Linked DNA regions of Lytechinus pictus. The protein of the gene in region 1 purifies or fractionates together with the protein of each later gene. This does not show direct contact. Links are inferred from orthologs where the notes say so. Each region holds a gene or a part of one and is shown in the gene's direction. Other genes may lie near its edges.

The links. The genes of interacting proteins can lie anywhere in the genome.
Region 2: the proteins of ubiquitin carboxyl-terminal hydrolase 22-like (region 1) and STAGA complex 65 subunit gamma-like purify together in Homo sapiens (affinity purification with mass spectrometry; 3 studies listed by BioGRID and IntAct, with this or other methods). This does not show direct contact. The link is inferred for Lytechinus pictus from reciprocal best matches to the Homo sapiens genes USP22 and SUPT7L.

What each region holds. Positions count from the first base shown.
Region 1 is NC_087254.1:10,421,995-10,432,935, forward strand, and holds the start of ubiquitin carboxyl-terminal hydrolase 22-like, read left to right. Parts: upstream 1-6,214; 5' UTR 6,215-6,745; coding exon 6,746-6,865; intron 6,866-7,526; coding exon 7,527-7,659; intron 7,660-9,779; coding exon 9,780-9,893; intron 9,894-10,896; coding exon 10,897-10,941. Other genes in the region: uncharacterized protein LOC129270144, read right to left, coding at 16-858. UniProt on the Homo sapiens protein: Deubiquitinase that plays a role in several cellular processes including transcriptional regulation, cell cycle progression or innate immunity.
Region 2 is NC_087249.1:18,377,294-18,388,640, reverse strand, and holds the start of STAGA complex 65 subunit gamma-like, read left to right. Parts: upstream 1-6,669; 5' UTR 6,670-6,812; intron 6,813-9,608; exon of another isoform or gene 9,609-9,873; intron 9,874-11,347. Other genes in the region: ileal sodium/bile acid cotransporter-like, read right to left, coding at 1-445, 1,576-1,780, 2,547-2,740, 3,838-4,074.

The sequences.
Region 1 (10,941 bases):
TTAATGACATACAATTCATGAACAATTTTCAACTTCCTCACTCCCTGTTTCAGACTTCGAAATTCCAGAAAATCTGGACCATAATACTTGTATCATACACACCTGTTCAGGAGCTAATGAGTACCAGGTATCCAAGATGAGCTGAAGTCTACTGCTGTGGTATTTCTCAGTTGTTTTCACTCCAATAAATACATCTGACAGTTCAGTTTGTTTGTGTGCGAGTGACTGGGATGGAATGTCTCCGTTTTGAACTACAATAGTAAAATTTGAAGCCTGCTTCTTCGCCACCAAGTTTGACAAGTTTTTGATTGGCACGGCGGGATTTGCATTCTGCACAACTTTTGGTTCATCTATTGTTACAGAAAATACTTGATGACCGTCTAATTTAGCTTCTTTCTCATGTATCTTTGGTTTTGCAGCTTCTTTTTGAAGGTCAATTCTGGAAGAAATCTCACTAGAAGTCTTATGGTTTGATGAATTTCTTTGGAGAATTATGTTTGCAGGTAAAACAGGTTTAGGGTCCACTTCTGAAACGATATCCCTTTGCTTTGCTCTCACAATTCCAGAGTCTATTTGTTTGTTTTCCTGCCATAACGGCTCGCGTCCCCTTGCCCCTACTCCGCCACGAATACCACCATCATCAGCTCCGCCTCCCCGGCCGCCCACCGACCGCCGTACAGGGCCATCCGGTGCTACGTTTACCCCGGCAACAAGTGGCTGGTTCCTCGCCTCGGGTTCAAAACGTCCAGGTTTCAATCCACGGCTGCCGTCGAGACGCTCGAATTCTCGCCAGACTAGCACCACAACCGATGCAAAAAGCAAGTATTGAAGAATTTTCTTCAATCTGAATCGCACCATCTTGTCGCTTTGAAGGGCTAAAGTGGAATGAAATCAAAGTTTCCCATATTCCGGCAGCGCTATCGATTTTCGCATTTCCCACCACGGCCGCCGACTCCACCGCTGCTTCCAGTACCACCAGGCCGTACCGGTAAACTGTCGATCTTTGGGTAACCTTCGTATACACGCGAGGATTACCCTTCAAAGATCCACGCTAGGGTGCACAGCTGTACCGCTTTGCCAACTCAATCGTCCCTGTTATTGTTTTCCAAAACTCTGGTACGCAGAAACCGAAGATGGCGTTTTCCAAAAACAAAGAGCAATAAACTTAACGAACGCTTTCGAAACTGAGGGATTCGGGGATATAGTGACGGCCAATATATAGAATAGGTGAAATTCATAAGCGCATTGCTTTAATACTTCTTCTTCTTCTTTGTTGTTCTTCCCCCGGTATTCGAGGATCAGCGGCTATCCGCTTACAGTTTATAACAATGTTGAATAATATTGGTTCTAGAAGACCCTGACCCTAACAAAAGACATCTATCCTGGGGGAGGGAGGGGGGGCATATTTGCCCCCTTTGACAGGGCCCTAGGAATGATTTTTTTACTGGGGGTGCTGATGTAACTTTGAAAAGCAAAAAAAAAGGTTTTGACAACACAATGGATAGCTAATTGTCCCCCCAAAAATAAGGGTTTTTACTACAAAATGGAGGTAAAAATTGGTCCAAGAAATTTGAAAACCCCCCCCCCCCCAAAAAAAAAAAAAATAAAGTTTCAATACAAAATTAAAGTCACTTTGGTTACATTTTTTCAATTTTCACACATCTTGCAGAATACCTGGGGGTACGTGCTGCCTATGGAAAATAATACATGCAGTACCCCCGAGGAAATTTTTGGGGATGCTTCAGCCCACCCCCAGCAAAGCCGCTTCCCAGGGCCATTTCCTTTGACGAATTTGAATAATTTTGACAACTTCAAAACTTCATGACATACAATGCAAATATAAGTTCTTCTAAAGCATTGGTAAGCACTGCAAATCATTCAACTTTGCAAAAAATACTATTTTATATTAAACATATATTGTCAATTTTTTAAATTTTGACATAATAATTTGGCGTGCATGCAGAGCGCCAAAACATGTACATTAAACATACCTATCAATCAATAATAATGATGATGATAATAATAATAATGTACTTTAATTAACTATTTATTGCAGGGAACCGATACAAACAAGCTTTGCTTTCCAATGGGTTCCCTTTTTTCATTTCTGTATATTATATTTTTTGTGTTTTGCTATACAGTGTAACTTTTGTTAAATTTTGGAATGAAAAAGAATAAATGCAATCAATAAATAATAATAATAATAATAATAATAATAATAATAATAATAATGATGATGATGATGATGATGATGATGATGATGTGATGATGATGATGATAATAATAATAATAATAATCAAATACACAGTTAGGAATTAAGATGCGGCGAGCCAACCCATTGCTTTCTTCGGTGCATGGAGGGGGTGGGTCATCGTGACATAGTTTGTAAAGTTACATTTGTTTCATTGTGAAGTGGTGATTTTGATATTCGACCAAAGTTCGACTGTAAGCATATACCTCGCCTCATCTCGGTATTAAATGGCCTAAATATTCGGGGGCAGGGGCTTGGGACTGTTGCCCCCTCAGAAAAAAAAAATATTCAAAATTCAGACCGAGGTAGGCCTATATAAACGAATAAAACAGAGATAAGAAGAAGGAAAAATATTAAATTGAAAAGACTACGAGAAAATAAGAAATCATTCTTTGGATATTATGTTAAAATTTCAAAAGGGTCAATTTCGCTTCTTTGCCATTTATTGTATTTTTACACCTGAGCGCCATGTACTGGTGGCCAGTCAGTGGTCCTTTCAACGGATTAACATTAGATGGCGCTAGTCTACAATAAACATATTACTGATTCATTCAACGAACAGGCGGTATAAACAGAAAAAAGTTTGATCGATCTGGTATTTGAGGATTTAAAAATGCAAGTTATTATTTCAAAGAGTTGCAAGAATTATCGAAAATTCATGATATCATTATGAATGTTCCTCTATAGTAAAACCATGCATCTGCGAAAATTTTAGCGACCCTTAGTTTTTTTTTAAAAAATGTCAACATTTTTTTTTCTGTTTCAGTTTGAATCTTTCTCATTTCAAGTTCAAGTTCGTCTTTATTTATCCATATTGGAAATTTGTTTTGTTCACAACTTCACGTCGATAAATATCAAAATAAAAATACAAAATCAAAAGAAAATGCAAAATCAAAAGAAAATACAAAATCAAAAGGAAAATCAAAGTCAAAATCAAAAGAAAATACACTGTTAGAAAAACAGAAGATTTTACAGAAGAAAAATTAAAAAACAGATTTTACAGAAAGTAGTCACCAAATCATTCTGTAAATTGTTAAAACAGGGAAGATTTTATACAATTTTTATAGAATTTTACAGAACAGGTCTGCTTAAAAAAGGGGGAAAATAGTTTAATTAAATAAATGTGTAAGGTTACATACACCAAATATCTATTTTCTGTAATTTTACACAAATGCATGTAATATTACACAGTGCAGTAAGATTAACAACCCTGCCAAACACGGCTGTTTGTCGAGATTTTTTATAATAAAAACTTAAGTTTTCATAAATTCGATGAGGGTGAAAAAGTATACACTTTAGATAATACTTGATGATCAATGCACTCATTGACTGCTAGCGGGTAGGAGCAGCAAGCACGACATCCGACAGGTGGCAGAGGTGACTCTCTCTTATGATTTTTCAAAAGAAAAAAAAAGTGGAGGAAACGAAAAGAATTAAAAGAAGAGCAAATAAAGAGAGCAATATTAGACAAATCAATCAAAAATTAGTCTGCAGGCACAGAAACTGATTGAAACTTTGATCAAAAAGTGGTTCTCCACTCAAAGACTATAAATATAGCACATAAGATTTGCTGTTTAGAGGACCTTCAGTACACAAGGCATTATAGGCTGCACAATCAGACCCTTAACTCGAGTGAAGGGTTGCACATGCAGCAGACCAATCAACAACAAGGGCATACCCTGTAAATATAAGGGGGTGGGGGCAAGTACAAACAGTCTAAAGTTCGCTTATTTTCACACACACAAAAAAATATGACAATCCTGGCACATGGTCGGCCGGCAAATAAGGGAACCGATGGCGTCACGCAGTATAGCTGTTCACTTTGTAACGGTCGAATAAAAAATATGAAATGTTATTTGCCTCATTAAATAATTATGATGCGAAACAAGAAAACAGGTAATCTCTCCGGTTCACGAGCATGTTTTTTCGACCTACTTTGACTCGAGTACACCTCAGAAAATGTTGATTTGACTAAAAAGAGAAAAATCAAACTAGGATAACGCTGAAAATGTCATCATAATCGGATGTAAAATAAGAAAGTTATGCCATTTCAAAGTTTCGCTTTATTTTCACCGTCAAAACAGTAATATGCACAACTCAGTGACATGCAAATGATTTTTTGTTTTTTAATGTTTGAATTATACAATATTTCATCTTTTACAGATTTGGAAATAAGGACCAACTTGACTGAACCATACAGCATTAAACAATAATAATTCCACATGTTCAGAGAGGAGTTAATCGTTGTTTCACTTGACAATTAGGAGAAAAATAGAACATTTCATATAATAAATACAAAAGAAATATTGAGTGGATTACGTCATCAGTCTCCTCATTTGCATACCGACCAAGATGTGCATAAATTATAACTCAGTGTTTTGTGGAATTAAGCGAAACTTTAAAATGTCATAACTTTCTTATTTTACATCCAATTTTAATGAAATTTTCAGTGTTATTCTTGCCTTTGGATTTTCTCTTTTTATTCAAATCACCTCTTTGTTGGGGTGGAAATATGCAAAAATGAAATATCTGTATACTTCATATAGATAGTGTGTGACATCAACCACATCATACATGCTTTGAATAGGCCTATATACGGTTTTGTGAAAATTGAAACTTTTTTTTTATAACTTTCGGGCCTATTTTTCATCCGATTTTATGAATAATTATGTCTTTCTGTTTTTAGGTTCAAATCAAATTTTAATTTTTGTGGCCTGCCTTTTGAAAGCTTTCATCAATAGACCGTTTCTTTCATCCAAATGCATTGAGGTTGTTGCATGACAATGCTACCCCCACTTAAAAACACAACAATAAATGCAATAAGGGGAAAAAAGAAAGCCCATCACTTTAATCACCCCCTTTCCTTGACGGTCGATCGGGGCACCTTTTTTGCCCGGTTCAAAAAGAAAAAAATACATCATTTTCTTTTAGGGGGCACCCCCTCGGAACCGTTACCTGAGCCCAAACTTGTTGCACATCAGTATCCGGGCAAGGCTTATGACATTTTCAAGAATTTTGAATGATCCTAGAGCACTAGCTGGCGGATCCAGGGGGGCACAGCCGGACGTCCCCCCCCCCCCCTTGAGAGGCACAATTAAAATTTGTAGTGTAAAAATGCCCTTAAAACATAAGTGTGCCCCCTTTAGAAAGTGAAGACCTTTTTTCTTTGTCAAATGATTTTTTCGTGGACAAAATCCCCTTAAAATTTTAGGTTACCCCCCCCTTTTTTTTTGCTTGTCAATTTTTTTCGTGCCCCCCTCCCTTCGAAAATTCATCTGCCCCTGTTCTAGAGTAATCAAGCCTACTTGCAATAGTCTCGCTATGCATTTGTGAAATGATAGGCAAAAGTTGTTTTAAGTGTTCGACATTCAACCCTATGATTATTATTACCTTTCTGTTTTATAAATGTTTTATGATTGATTTAATGAATATTATTCCATGGTTGTCATTTTAAGCAATCTGCTTATAATGACAATCCTTCTCCTGCAAACTGTAAATGTTGAAACCATTTGGTAGTATAGATCATATTTGTTCATATGACTTTTTATTCAGTCCATAAGTTTATGATTTATGCCCAAAAACTATAACCAATATGTTTGTTCTGTAATGAAAAACGTTTTATATACGAATGTTATGAATGCAGGAAAAAAGAATAAATCAAATAAATATCAAATTAGGCCTAGTTATTATTAAGTTCATTTTCTTTTACTGTTTTCAAGAAAAGAAAACGAGAAAACATGTAAATAAATCATGATTCATTGCAATGATTGGCAATGGAAGAGGCTGATAATGTGCATACCATGAAAACCATTCACTTCCATAATCATGATATAAGCTGCTTAATTGTGCTAAAATCTGGCATACTGCAGCAATGAGGAAGGAATTATACAAAAATGAAAGATAGAGAGGGAGAGAGAAATATGATTTCGGTTTATTGACCCAAATCCGGAAGTCAATTTCTTTGACTGGGGTACTGCGATTGCGCATTGGAAACAACTTTTCCAGGACCCGAGAGGAATGACTCTATATAGATTACCGGGGCGTTATATGCATACATATTTCAAGTGTATAGTTAAACACCGTAATCATTTTCTACAACTTGTGGCTTGCATTTGTCACTAGCATTGGCCGGCTGGGAACTCGTACTCGCCTTTTATTGTGCGTATTCCAGCATCGCGTAGAAAACAAGGGAACGCTATTTCAAAATAGACACGTTATCGGAGTTTAAAAACACTTGTACCGGTACCTCTCTCGATAAACAGCCTATTATGTATCTTTAAGAATTTGTGAATCAAAATAAGTACTTTGGATCATGATGACGACCTTCGTTGCGAAAGAAGAATCGACTGTTTTGGATATCGAGTGATTGAAGTTTCAGCTAGACTGGGTTCTTTACCGGCGAGCAGAGGGTTTACACGGGGAGTCGTGCCCCGCTGGACCAGGGAGATACGGAGTGGAGTGTGGTACAAAGCCAACGGGCAGCCGCTGCTAAGTATGAGCTTATCGGGCTGCCCGCATGTAGCTGCCTTCAAGAAGAGCAAAGGAACGAAGCCCTTTAGAATTATTCAAGCTTTCTTTGTGTCTTGTAGCTCTGTCGAAAATGTTAAGAGAAAAGTGAGCATCTTTCTTGTTATGTCATGTCTGTTGTCCTTTCAGTTTGTCACGTCGTTGAGGAGAAAGTGACACAGTGACAGTGGTGTCACTGTCGGTGAATTAACTGCCACTGCAGTGCGAAGGCGAAGACAAAGTGATTGTTTAGTTTGTCTTTGTTTGCTTGGCTCACTTTCCCTTGATTCAATGATGATGTTGTAACAGGGGACTATTCTAGATACTTAAGTTTGAACAGATGTTTCCCTTGCATTTGGCCCTCGCTAGTTATAAAAACAAATTAATACTAAACATAGGAAAGTGTTTTTTCTTTCTCATTTTTAATTTATCGCAAATTGTGCTTGTGGAAGAAATCAAATGAATATAGCCTAGATTAGACTAGATTAAAGTAAAATAATTTTTCAACATTTCAATTGTATCTCCAAGCTTCAACTAAGTTATGCCAAATCTATAATAAGGAGACATGCCCACACATATTCAAATTTTATTTTGATAACAATATTTTGGTGTTTCCTAACTCCAGTATTGAGCAATTAAAATCATGACAAATTTTGACTGGGCAAAAGAGAAACTGAACACTTTCTGAATATTATTGTCACTAAGGCTAAAAAAGTAATCCTTTGACTAAATATTTCTTTCTTTGACAATGTTTTCTTTCTTTGGGCAGGCTCGGGCAGGTAGCTGTCACGTATGTCATCAGTATAACCAACGTCTTCATGCGTGCCTACATTGTGTGTTCTTCGGCTGTTATATGATGGGCCATATACAGGATCATGCTAGGTCCACCAAACACCACCTGGGTAGGTTCATCGGCGTCGTCAAGTTCGGACGAGCATTTCATGGATCTTTTTGTCAGTCATTTTCACTGATGACTGTTGCAGCTTCTAAAATCTTATTGGCTCAGAACAAATAAACGATTGACTATTTGTTCTCTGAAAGACTTTAAAAGCTACTAAAATAATTGCATCTGATTGGTTTAGAACCAATTGGTCAATGAATATAACAGATTATCACTCATATCAGACATCTGAGCTGGTAATTTAACAAAACCGTATCGCCCTAGATTTTCTGAATATCGGAAAGGCATAGGTATATCATTTGTATTTTCCTCGGTCTCGATGCGCCTATTGACTTTGCATGCAGAGACGACACAAAATATGCCTTTGTATCTTCCCTGGTCTCACATCCGGGCATACGAGGATGCGTAGAAAGAGATATGCTTCATAATGATCCGCGCAGCAAAATATACGTCATAATAAAAACAACACTGGATCCCGGCGCTGGATATGCATCCCTAGTGACGCGATCTTATAATTACAAGTATGTCAAAATGGTAAAGTGCAGAGCCTGGCCCCTGGTATTAAACATCACACAGAACCATATTCTTGATGTCTGATTTGGATGATAATAAAGAGTCATATTGCCCTCGTCTAAAGACTCGGGCCAATATGATTCTTTTGTGGGCAATATATTTTTGATGTTCCCCTCAAGGCCAGTCAATATTATATAACTATTTGCTTTGTGAAAGACTTCGCAGGGTGCATTTCATGAAACTTGTCAGTCATTTTTCACTGGTTGACTGTTTAAAGCCGTTGAAATAATTTCATTTGATTGGTTAGAGCAAGTTTGCTAGTAAAAGTTTTGGACAAGATGTTTCTTAAAATGTACCATGGATGATGAGGGTTTTCATGAGGAATCCCTTGATTCTTACTCATAATAAGCATGAAAGTTTTGAATGAGAAAGGGTCAAATGTTTTCTTAAAAAGAAAATCCTCATTCATATTCATATTGTATTATGGCATAGTTAAAATGATAAATATTCACAGTGGGGGAGGGGGGGGGGATTCTGGGGCCCATTTAATGAAGAGTTACAACAACTGTAACATTTCATTATAGCAGGAATAAGCAGCCAATCACAACCAAGGTTTCCATGGTAACTACAATAATGGCAAACTTACCACAGCTCTAAGTCTTTATGAAAGAGGCCCCTGATCCTCTTGAAACTGGAGATCAGAAAGATGCCAAAATGAGTTGGGCCTAATTGGTAGTTGCTTGATCTGGTGCCCTGTTTAAAAAAAGACAACTATGGTAACTCAGTCCTTATTGTAACTCCCATGGAAACCATGATTGCGATTAGGTGTTGAGCCCTGTTACCATGGTAGTTGCCATGATTGCAAAGTTACCATAGTAACTTAGAGTGAGAGTTAACTCTTTTTGAAGTGGGCCCCCTGGTGTCGATTCCATCAACATCTGGGGCCCTTTTCATAAAGAACTTACAATTATAGTAACTTTGCGAATATGGTAATTGCCATAGCAACAAGGCTCAGCAGCCAATCAAAATCAGGGTTTCCTTTCCAGAATACTTGCCATAATGGCAAAGTTATTACATGCAAAGTGCTTGTCACAACATCTTTATGAAATGGGGCCTAGTTATAAACTAGAAGGAAAGAAATATATTCCCAGCAAAAATATGCTCACTTTATTGATGAATTTTAAGAACATACCTGTGCAGTATGGAGTAAGACATATGAGAATTAAAAATAAAAACGTTGTTGCTTAAATTCTATTGAAAGGGATCTTTTTGGACTCGTCTTTTCATAAACGTGGCATAGATCTTTCCTATAATTTGAGATACAAGCCTTTTCCCCCTTAATGACTATTATGCTTTCAATCGGGATGGTGCTAGGATAGGGAGGGGTCGACAATCTAAAAATTACTTCTTTTTTTTCAGTTGGATTATAGGGGAGGTATAAATTTACATTACCCAGTCTTCTCTTTTTATACTCTTTCTTCTCCTTTTTTTTCTTCACTTGCAAAATCATGGGGGGGGGTAAATTATTTTAAAATTGTAATGCACATATGATCTTTGTTTTGAGTTGATGAGACATTTTCCTTATTTCACTTTCCTCTGTTGTTACAGCTGTTGACATGACTCATGGAACGGTATTCTGTGTGGCGTGTGGAGACTATGTCTATGACTCTGAATTTGAGCAGATATCGCAGGAGGAGAGATTGAATTGCTCAAAGTTCCATGGTAGGTATACACAGTAAATCACTGTTTGGGGGGATCAAAATTACATACCCACATGGCTTACTGGATCGCATCAGTCGCAAGTCTTTATAGAACTAAGTGAGATAGTGATAGTGCCTAGAAACTGGGAGGTCTTTGATATTACAGTCATATTTCTCCTACGGTGTCCTCATGGTGAGTCGAAAGTGGCCTTTTTATGGATTTCCATAAGAACACCCAGGAAGCTGGTACAAAAATTATGAAAACGGCTGTTTTAGACTCGCCGTACGGCCATCATAGGTGAATGAGACTGCGCCATAAGTTGCTTGCCAATCTTCTATTAAGATGGCATTGTACATATAAACATTGTTAGCTATACAGCTGTATTTTTGTGAAACACCCCAGGATGTCATCCTGAATCACATTAGCAGCCAGTTCAGTTTCAGGTCACAGGAAATAGGTCAAAGGTCAATTTCGGGTCAATGAACTTAGACCATGTTGGGGTATTTCTTTAACTTTGAAATGTCATCATAAATTTGAAAGTTTATGGATCTACTTCATGAAACTTGGACATAAGAGTAATCTTATATCATTAATCGTTTTTGCACAAGTTTCAGGTAACATTAAGGTCAAAGGTCATTTAGGGTCAGTTTAAAATCATATGAAAGTTGTTTTTGGTGAATAAATATATTCATATGACTTGTTTTCCAAGTCAGCAATGCTGCTATATTCAATGGCATAATGTAGGCAAGACTGCCAGAGGCCCTCCTTTTGTTTGTACAAAAACTGCCGCAAATTATAGTTCTATGATAAGAATACAACATCTACAGCAAGGCGAATGGGTAAAGTTGGCTGCATGAGACCTATCACTTATATTTTTAGCATAACTGCAGAGGCAAGAGCTGCAGCTTCTGCCTCAATGATAAGACTAGAGCATTACTTGTGAAAAGCTCCTTGAAAGCTTGTTGCTTTGATTTCTGCCTGGGTGTGTCCAAAGCGAACTTTGTTCATCATTTCTTCTCTGCAGGTTCTAGCGTCCAAGGTTTCTCTGCTTGGGAAGCTACAGGCTATG
Region 2 (11,347 bases), on another chromosome or scaffold:
CAGAGCAAGCTTCTTCGGAGTTGATGTCTTTCTTCATCCAACCCTTGTCGGCGACGGGTCCGCCTTCATTGCTGCCGGTACGTCTCACCCCCTGTCTCACCACGATCTTGTAGACCGCGACCCCGATGAGTCCTTCGACCATCATGACGGGACCGTAGAGGGACGGGTAGGTTAAGACCTCAAACATGATGGGTGAACCTTCGAACGTCAGGACGGTCAGGGCCAGGGAGACGTTCTGGAGACCCGTCTCGTAGGCGATGGTACGGCAGTGTGCGGGCGGGCGGCGTAAGGCCCAGGAGAGGAGATAACCGAGGGCGGCGCTCAAGGTAGGGAGGGTGAGGACGCAGATCCAAACTTGCCAGGAGACGGAGTACATCCCGGGGTTGATGATTGCCGTGAGGGTGATGCTTGTGGCTATTCCCAGGAGGCCTAGGATGCTCCCAACCTAAAAGTAGTGATGGCAAAATATTAAAGAGCGTATAAGACAATATTGGGAGAGGGGGGATGAGGAGCATTTTCTTGTGAGATGAATGCAGTCCCAAGACCTCAAAATGATCGTAAACCAGGGTCGAGTGTTTCATAGAATCAATATTCAGTGACTTTCGCTGACAAATTTGCTCTTAGTCAATTAGATTAGGCTGAGGACTTTGGTAGCTTACAACAATTGTTTGTGAACATCACTATTATTTCATGAAATGCTTCATGGGGTGTGAAGTCTTGAAGTGGATGAACAGGGTAAAGAGACTATGGAACTATAGAAGACTCGATTTTCTTGGTATCTTGAGTGACCGTTATCATAATGCCAACAGAATATAATCTTTTCATGATGACTAACCATGCATCACTGCGTTTCATCAACATGTGCCGTCCGACACGTTTTCAGGGCCAACAATTTTCTTTGATTTTGATGGGCTGAGACGTTACTCTGCTAACGCTTCGTATAAAACAGATTTTGTCGGTCCTTTTATGAAACGCTCCTCGGTTTTTCAGGAGAGCGTTTCATCAAAAATTTTCGTCCGACAAGTTTTCAGATCCGACAACTTTCCTCGATTTTGATTGGCTGGGAAGATAAGATGCTAGTTTGTTGACTGTCTGATAAATACTTTGTTGGATAGTTTCCCTTCGCGAAATGCTTGCTGATCAGACAAAGAGTTTGAGGGGATATTAACGTAAAATGCCTTGCTATGAATTGCAATTATGAAATAACCACTCTTATTGGTTTAATCTTGGTCAGTGTTTTGAAAAACGTACACATGCTACGACGGTATTGATTGGCCCCTGGCATTTTTTTCATCGATTGATCACAAACGTTTACTATGGCTAGAACATTTTGGTGCATACATACCACACCTCCTCAACCAAAGATGTTATAATTCAACGTTTCGCAGTTTAAATGACCACTTTGGTTTCAACTAGGGGCAGCGTCAGGGTTTATGATAGGAGGGAGGCAAGACAACCTTTCCTGTCTCTTCTCGCTTTCTTCTTTTTTCTCACTGTGTTTCTTCCTTTTCTCTCTACTTTAATAAAAGGGACGCCCCCCCCCCCCCCAGTAGCGCAGACCCGCTTTCAAGTAACCTTTGAAATGAACGATGTCCACTCTATTCTCTTCCATCGGATGATCATCCCAATTGTTACTGGGATCACAATGGACACCAAAGCTGTGATGATGCTGACGAAGGGGACGACGGCATTGTCATCGGTCCATCTTCGACTGTAGATGAACAGGTTCAGAGGCATGAGCCCAATGGCGGCTACGGTCGAGATGGTCGTCATGGTGATGCTGAAATTAAAGATTCAGTCATTATCATCTGATCGTTTAATCGCATCTTAAAAAGAATTCAATATTTCAATAGATAGTTATTGACCACAGCGGTCCTTATAATCTTAGAAACAATATTATCAGTAACAGATGCGATAACTTTTATCAGGCTACTAGATACTATACTATTATTACTACTACTACTACTGTATACTACAGTACTACTAGTACTACTACAGTACTACTACTACTACTACTACTACTACCAGGGGCCGCGGAACGGTTTTCAAGGTGGGGGGGCTGACCATGCATAAAAATACAATCATATGGTCATTTTTACGTTTTTGTACATGGTTTTGGAAAAAAGTAGGGGGGCTGAAGCCCCCACAGCCCCCCCCCCCCGCTTCCGCGGCCCCTGACTACTACTACTACTTACTGCTACTTTTTCTTCCTCCTCCTTCTCCTCTTCTTCTCCCTTTTCTTCTTCTTCTCCTCCTTTTTCTTCTTCTTCTTCTTTTTCTTCTTCTTCTTCGACGACATTCGACCACCATCATTATCCTCTATGAACAGGGTAGGCACCACTAGGTGACATGATTCTAACAAAATGGGAAATGATTAGAGAGAAGGAGATGTGGAAGAAAGAAAGGGTGAGAGTATACAAAAAAAGTTAAGGCCGCCTCACTCTGCAATGCCTCTACAATTAAAATGAGAAAAAAATATAACGTCAACCTCTATCTAGGTCGTCTTGTCCTCTCCCCTGGTGTCGTTCCTGATTAATAAAACCAACCTGAGACATACATCTCCCTTTGTCCAGAAGGTGAAGAGGTTAGAGACGGCTCCTCCAGGGCAGCATGACATGACGAGTACCCCTAACGCCATGGGCGCCGGTAAGGACAGGGCGAGAGCAAGGCAGAAAGCAGACAGAGGCATCAAGACGAACTGGCACAACATCCCGATCAGTACACTTTTCGGCACGCGTAACTGGACAAAAAAAATAATAATAAAAAAGCGGGGAAAAACATTACCTTTTCGGGTCGTTCTAAATTGATTGGTATGAATGACTAATGAATATGTTTATGCATAAGCATTGTCATAGTTTATAATCTTTGTTGATTGGTTCTGTCGATAATGATGACTTATGCGTATTCATGCACTTGTTATAAAAATGATTAAACTTTTAAATATTGGGTAAAGGGAAAAATGTAACCTTCACTTAGATGCAAGATGGAGAAATAGTATATAAGTAGTGGATAAAGTTAGCAACAGAGTTGTTATACCATTCAAATTTAAATGTTATTATACAGGGGATCACGTTGTCTGCTAGTCCGAATGAATTAAAATTCAAAATCAATGTAATACTATAATTTGTGTCGCTCACACATTAATCGAAGAGAGCACTAATCAATACTGACTTAATTTAATTTTAAGACAAAACGTTTACAAGGTTAAGTACGGAACCTTACGATGACATATGCCCTTCCCCCCCCCCCCCCGTTACTCGTTCCCAAGAGTTTGCTTGACTTTTATAACTCGTTCCCTTGACTTATAACTCGTTCCCTTGACTTAATGACTCTTTCCCTCTACTTAATAAATCGTTCCCTTGACTTAAAACTCGTTCCATCGACATGTTATATAATGACTCGTTCCTTCTACTTTATAACTCTTTCCCTTGACTTAAAACTCGTTACATCGACATAATGACTAATTCTCTCTACTTTATAACTCGTTCCCTTGATATATAACTCGTTCCATCAACTTAAAACTCGTTCCCTCGACCTAATGACTAGTTTCCTCTACTTTATAACTCGTTCCCTTGATTTATAACTCGTTCCCTTGACTTATAACTCGTTCCATCGACTCAAAACTCGTTCCCTCGACCTAATGACTCGTTTTCTCTATTTTATAACTCGTTCCCTTGACTTATAACTCGTTCCATTAACTTAAAACTCGTGGAAATGAGTTATAAGTCGAGGGATCGTGCTAGTAACTCGTGAAAACGATGAATTAAATACAAGTGATATGGAGGTAAAAAGTAAAAGATAAATTGATAAATAAATTATGTAAATAAATTAACTTACCACTTCTTTAAAATCGCTTGGTTTGACCACGCAGCCCATGGCTAGCATGAGGAAGATAAGGATTGTGATCAGAGTATACTTATTTGCTTTTTTCAAGGCTGCGATGTAAGCAGGCGGTGATGGAGGAAGGTGTTGACCGGTGGTCGTCCAGTTATCCGTCCCCGTTACCATGGCAACGTCTTCAGAAAACATTCCCTCATCAGATAGCATCCGTGTCGCTGTTTCGAAATAATCCATGGTGTTGTCGACTTTAAAGTTCGATCACTAAATTACGGGAGATCAATTGCTTGAAATCAAGATAGTGATTTGAAAGACGGAGCCTAGTTAAGGTGCATAAAGTTACTGTGGGGTGTTAAAACTGACTACGAGAGGACCACACCCTGATGTTAAAATTACACTCTCGAACGTAGCACCAAATAGACAATGTAAAATTTACAACAAGTGTGCTGTAAAATCACACATATATAGGTGTTGAACTAACACCAAAATAGAATTAACACCGGAGTTAATGACTGTTGTGGTCCAAGTCTATTATGCACACCAATGAACTGCATAGCAATGGAAAACGGGATAAAAAGGAAGAATGAAGAATCATAAAAACAGGGTCAACTGGAGCCAATGGGAAGAATAGTCTATCGACATGATCCAGTGCACATGCTTATATTGCTATCGAAATAACCTTTTGGCTTTGGTACAAAAAACAATAACACTTTAAACGTTGCCGGTTGATTTGTCCGATATTGCGCTCGTTTGGCCTATTATAGTTGTAGTGTCTCAGCTGTTGTGAAAACACATTTTTTTTCCTTAACATTTCATGAAAACTATGAAAATCGGTCTGTTTACTCTATCGTGTTTTTTTTTAATAAGTTCGAGTCTTGCCCCCCCCCCCGGAAATATTATCTGCGTGTGGTCATGCAAAATGGCATGACTGGAAATCCTAAAAAAGCATTTAAAAGAGCATTTGACAGGGTCAGACTTTACCGCTTTTTCAACATTTTCTTTTATGGCGCCGGTGAAGTGCAAAAATATGTGCGCCGCTCGGCAGTGCACCCCCCCCCCCCCCTCCTTCGCCAAAAGCTGGATCCGCCTATGACAAAGGTATGATTTTACAGGGTATGGAAGATTCTCGTCTACTATGCATCTATTCACTAAATTTACTAAGTAACCAGAGGCGATTTTCTTTTTCGGTCATTTTTATTAGTTATGAAATTGACAATGGCCATCGATGTCATCAATGTCAACACTCTTTGGCTGGCATATATAGGGCTAGATGCGAGTTTGAGAATAAACGGGCCGGTATGCCTTTTTTTTCCTATCCAACTATCTGTTTATATATATTTCGAAATTCGAGGAGACATGTGTATAATTTCGATTTTGAATTATGTATTTTTTTCCATAATAAAAAAACACAAATAGTAGGGGGCATTTGATATTATGTCCCCCCCCCCTTTCCAAAATGGTAGGGGGACGCGTCCCCCTGCCCTCCCCCCCCCCCTGGGATTTCCACCCATGCCCTATATGACACAGTCCCCCGGCCACAGTCACACAAGAAACCGTCTCCAAACCCATGTTCCAAAGCGATCGGGAATACGAATTCGAAATAAGGCAACATAGCGTCGATCGGTCTGCTGTCTTTCATAAGTGTGACTGCTCAGAACTTCCTGAAAATGTTCTCAGCTATGAACAACCAGGGAATCATATGAACCTGTTATCAGCTAGTGTTCTTGTATCGGTTTCCCAAACTTTCTAAAATATTTGATTTGATTTTAGTGCTTTTTATTCTGCAATCGCATCATTATGATTATCATTTTGTGCATGAATCATAGATTAAGACGACGTGTAGAAATATGTAATTCAAAACAATAATGATCTACTCCCAATTTAATTATATTTACAATTTGCAAGAGTTCATTAAATAAGCATATTGCTTGAAAACAATTACACCCCAGAAAACTAAGCGCATTCAGTTATAAGAATTGTGTTGAATTTCTTTAAAATATTGTTTTAAAAATATAGGCCCTAACAACGTCACGGTTGTGGGAATTAAGAGTTCAAACGGGGGGGGGGGGGGGGCAATATAGTTTCAACCGTCGGAGGTCATTATTAAATATGAAATTTATAAAGTACAATGCAGTGGTTGGATTTGTTTATTTCCACTTTTGTCATGCGTTTTTGTTTTGTTTTGTTCAGTGTTTATTATTTTATATGACCTGCATGACTTCATATTACATCTTCAAATAATATATAATTTTGACCCTAGCCCGGCAGCAGCTGGTATTCCAAGAGGTTTTAAACATTATATATTGCAAATATTCGATGAGGCGTGTATATCTCTATGGTTTTATTTTACAACATTAATTGTAAGACCTGTACCAGTTTTCTGGGCACACCCTTGAAACATGACTTATTAAGAGAAAAGAGGTAGGTAAAATGAAAGGAAATGAAAGGGAATAGTGAAATATTAAATCATTTTCTGAATATTACGTCAAAAAAAAATTTAATAGATTTTTGTACTTAAAAAAGTTACTCGCATCTTTTCAGAACTTCAATGATGCTTGTAAAATTCACCCCCCATATCTGGCCCCTCAAAATTTTAGGCTCATTTAATATTTCTACACAACAAATTTGTGGGTATTGAAAAGTCCATACCAATCCCCGACCAATTCTTCCTACACCGATCTGTATACGGATCAGTATGCCTAACCTCTATCCTCGACTCGAGCTCCCCCCCCCCTCCCCCCTCCCCCCCCCCCCCATAGTCATAGAGGTGAATAATCTATCCACCTATGCCCCAACCTTTTTTATTATTATTATTTGGTATTTACAATCCGCAATATATTTTTTACATGCAGCTAGACGTAGACCACTACTATACCGACGACTACAGTCCGTACGGTGACTTTTGTGCCAGAATACCCCTGATTTTATTCGCTATTAGGCCACGAGGTTCAATGAAATCTGGGATTATATCATTAGTGAGTAATATGTGATACATTTCTTGTGCTTATATTTCAATACTCTTTTAACCTACCTCATAAAACCGCTTGAAAGTAACCTATTTTTAGATACCGGTCCCGTGCATTGAATTTTGTGTAAGCCTCGGCTACTTCTTTCCTTTGGCTTTGTTGGTTGGCCGTTGGCAACCAGTCAGGATTGACTATTTTTGCCACAGCTTTTGTTCATTTTCAATAGCTAATTATTATTTTTTTCTTTTCCATTCCTTTAAAAAAAAAAAAAAAATCTGTTTTTTTTTTTTTTTTTCGTTTCTTTTCTTTTGTTCTCTTTTTCTTTTCTTGTTTCATTTTTTTTCATGCATTTTTTTTCGTTTCTTTTCTTGTATTTTTGTCCTTTTTCTGCTATTTTTCCCCCTTTTTCTTTTCTTTCTTTTTCTACTACTACTAGCCCAGCTAGTCTTGTCTTGTCTTTCCGTTAATGCCCATAATCATATTTATATTGATTATTATGGCATATGAAAGTCAAGATTGACTTGACCTGAATTTTGCCGGGACCGGCAGGTGCAATACACCGGGAGACAACCCTACTCTTTGACGAATAGTGTATTGGTTTTAACGTGCATAGGTTGTGACTCTTCTTCTTCTTCTGGAAACAGTACAGTCCACCGTCTGGTGTATTGTCGTACTGGTGAAGTGCAGCGTGCAAGTGTACATTATCCGATAAAAAATTGCTTACAGCGTGCAAGTAAAAACAACCACCGTTATTAACGGAGCTGTGTCTTTTGTACCTCTTGTTTAAAGATGTGTAGAGAGGTACAATTAACTGTGCTGTTGGGGAGGGAGTTCCAAAGTCTTATCGAATCTGGGAAGAAGCTCCTCTGGTAGACAAGTGTTCTGGCAAAGGGAACAAAGATCTTCTGAGAATGACCTCTATGCATGGATGTGGATGGAGTGAGGAAGGTAGGTGGGATGTCAATGAGTGAGTTGGTAATACAGTAGATCATCACCACCTTGGCCTGTGCCCTACGCTCTTGTAAAGTTGGCCATTTGAGCTGGTTCAGCAAGGTTGCTACACTGCTTGTTCTACGGTGATCATTACAGACGGAGCGTGCATAGCGTCGCTGCACCATTTTAAGCTTTTTTATATTTGCTTGCGTGTGAGGGTACCATATTATGCTGGCATACTCCATGATTGGTTGCAGGAGAGCTTTGTAGCACAGTTCCTTGACCTTTCTTGGACATGGCCGGATATTTCTCTGGAGGAAGGCACGTGTGGAGTTGGCCTTTTTGGTTACAGCATTTATGTGTTGATTCCAGCTGAGGTTCCTCTGCAGCTCAACTCCAAGATACTTTGCTGTATTTTATCAGATATAGTCTGTCTTCTCCTATACACGGGACCAACATTTGCGTCCTTTCCGATGGACGGAGTGTTTTCCAACTGCATTCACACCTGCACTGAATACAGTGGTGAGGCACGCTAACACACAACGCTATCACTTGTTCACTGCAACCACCCTGCCCGTGGGGAATAGTACAAGTAGGACTATGGCATGCCAATGCTGTACAGAGCACACACTTTCAAAAATCATTAAAATATCACTTTTGTGACCAAAATTACTAATTTCTATACAGTTGCAATTTATTTTTCATTAGTAACTTGGGAATAATTTTTTGTATTCACTAGAGCGCTAAGAAACTTGAATTTTTGGCATATTTTTGTGTACGCCCTCTATTGGTGGAAAGTAATATGGCAAGAAATTTTTCATTTTTTATCTCTATTTTTAATTAAGAAAAAAATAATTTAAAGAATCAAATTTACTTAACTGCTTAAGCAAGGGCCAAGTTGTATGACGAATAGGTGTAATGGAAACTCAGTGTAAAAAAATCAAGCATTTGTCCCAAAGAAAAAAGAGAAAATAAGCCAAACATTGCCACCCTTATTTTGCCACACATGGAGATATAACTGAGAACAAGGTTATATCATAACCTTGTTCATTGAATGAGTGAACGCTATAGCATCAGATTTTTTGTCAGACGCGTTTCGGCATGAGCGGGACTCGAACCCCTCACGTTGAGAACTACGATCTTATCTGAAACATGCGCTCTAACCGACTGAGCTACGCTGCCTCCCTTGCTACGCTGCCTCCCTTAACAGTCTTGTACTGTTGCAGAGGGATAGGCATCTGTTCGTGACGACTTCCCGGACGAAATTCTAACTTCCACATTTCAAGGTTTAAATAAACTAGAATTCGTCTTATGTAGACTTGTAGTGTTATTTTTTTTTAGAAATCTGTCAACTGTCAAGCTTTCGGGTCAAAGAAAATTGTTGATATTAAATTTGAATCGAGACGATAGAGAAAAATTGGCAAGAGTTCCAATATGCACCCCCCACTAAAATTGAAAATGAAAACATTGATAAGGTTTAGAATAATATATCTAGCCCTAAAATAGAACATATATGATGGGGAAGTGGAAATACATACCAAAATATGGGTTTATTCCGTCAAATTTCGAGCAGGATCTAGTACGTGTAATTGTCCATAGACATCGGTTTATTTAGTTAGTAAAGGGTCTGTGAGTCTAGACTAGTCGAACTATCGGCTGATAATCGTTAAAATACCCCTTCCGGTATCAGCGCTTCTTGCTAGCATTGCGGGAAGAGACTTGACTGGAGATACAACGAGGTGAGTTCGAGTACCAACTAAGGTCACTCACACATGCATGCGAGGTTAGCTAAAACCTCGATTCAAGTCGTCGGTGCATATAGGAAATTGTACAAAAAAATCAACAGGTTGCATCTCATGTATTTACTTATAGGTGAAGTACGCCATCTTTTGACAAGATGATGATGAAAGTGGATTGAACGAGCAAGAAAATAATGCTGAGCACCTAGAATGCAGCTAGCAGTACAAGCTTCAGGACCGTAAACAAACCGGCTTATAAATAATATCGCGCACCCTCTTTAGGCCAAAATTGATTTCGTCGCTGATCGAAGGGCATCTACGTGAAGATCAAGAAAAATTCCTTTTTCTTAAAAAAAATAAACAACAAAGAGCAGTCACCAAAGGATCCATATGGTTCGGTAAGTGTCATAGCACAATGTGAAATTCTAGCTTTAATATAATAATCTTTTATTTGGGCAAAAGCCCATGTAAGCTTTGCATGTGTCGCGTGCATCATGTGCATTTGATATTCCTTCGCACGCGAGATGAAATGAACCCATGGGTGATCTAAGGTAAGCAACAGTAAAAAAAAATGATAGAAAAATCTGAAGTGAACGAACCGGAAGTCTCAACAATCTTTTGTTATTTTTGGTGGGGGCTGCATAAGGAACTCTTTCCGAGTTTTTCATGAAAATTTCATGAAAATCGGATGTAAAAAAGAAAGTTATGCCTGGAATTTTAAAGTTTCGCTTATTTTTCACAAAACAGTTATATGCACAACTCAGTGATATGAATGCAAATGAGAGGATCGATGATGTCCCTCACTATTTCTTTTGTTCTTTATAAAGTTTATTGTTTGATTTATACATTTCAATTTTTACAGATTTGACAATAAGGTCCAACTTGACTTCACGATTAACTGTTAAAATAACGGTAATTCCACCTGTTCAGGGAGGAATAAAATTTAGCTTCACATAATAATGAGGATAAAATAAGTATTTTTCATAGTGAGTTGGTGATGTCTTCAGTCTGCTCATTTGCATACCGACCGGATGTGCATATAAGTAATTGTTTTGAGAAATTTCGCGAAACTTTAAAATGTCATAACTTTCTGATTTTTCATCCAATTTTGATGAAATTTTCAGTGTTATGCTTGTTGGGTTTTTCTCGTTTTATTCAAATCAACTTTTGTTGCGGTGGACTTGTACTTCTCAAGTTAGAGTTCTAGAGTTGTTTCTTGCCCTTTCTCAAACTGTCAAACGATACCCATTCCAAATTTCTAGGCATTATTTTTTGTAGTGACTTATTATGAGTATGACTTTTCTTCTTCCTTTTTTCCTTTGTTTTTATATTGGGGCTGTATTTCCTCTTTCTGTCATTGTTTTCTCATGCAAAATGAAATGAATGGGAAGAAAATGAAAAGGAAGGGGAAAAAAGTTTATTTTCTTGTTTGTTTTCCACAACCTGTCCCTCATAATGGTGCAAAGGCTCAGTGGCGTAGCTCCGGGGGGGGGGGGGGGGGGGGCCTGGGGGGGCATGTGCCCCCCCCTGAGATTTGGTGTGCCCCCCCTAAAAAAAATTTGGCATAGCAAAAAAAAGGGAGAAAGAAGAAAAGAAAAAAGGAAAAGAAGGAGAAAGACAGAAGAAAAAAAAAGAAGAGGAAAACAAGAGGAGGAAGACGAGTGAATAAAATAATGTGAGGGGAAGACTTGCAAAAAAAAACCCAAAAAACTTTCATGTTACTATATAAAATTTTGCTTGCGCCGTGCCAGAATTGCCTGTTCGATGAGATTCATATCTTGCTCAATAGGCTGATTTGGAGCAAGTTTTGAAGTCAATATACAAAACATATTTTAGCTCGGACATCGAGCTTTCATTATTTTTTTTCATTTA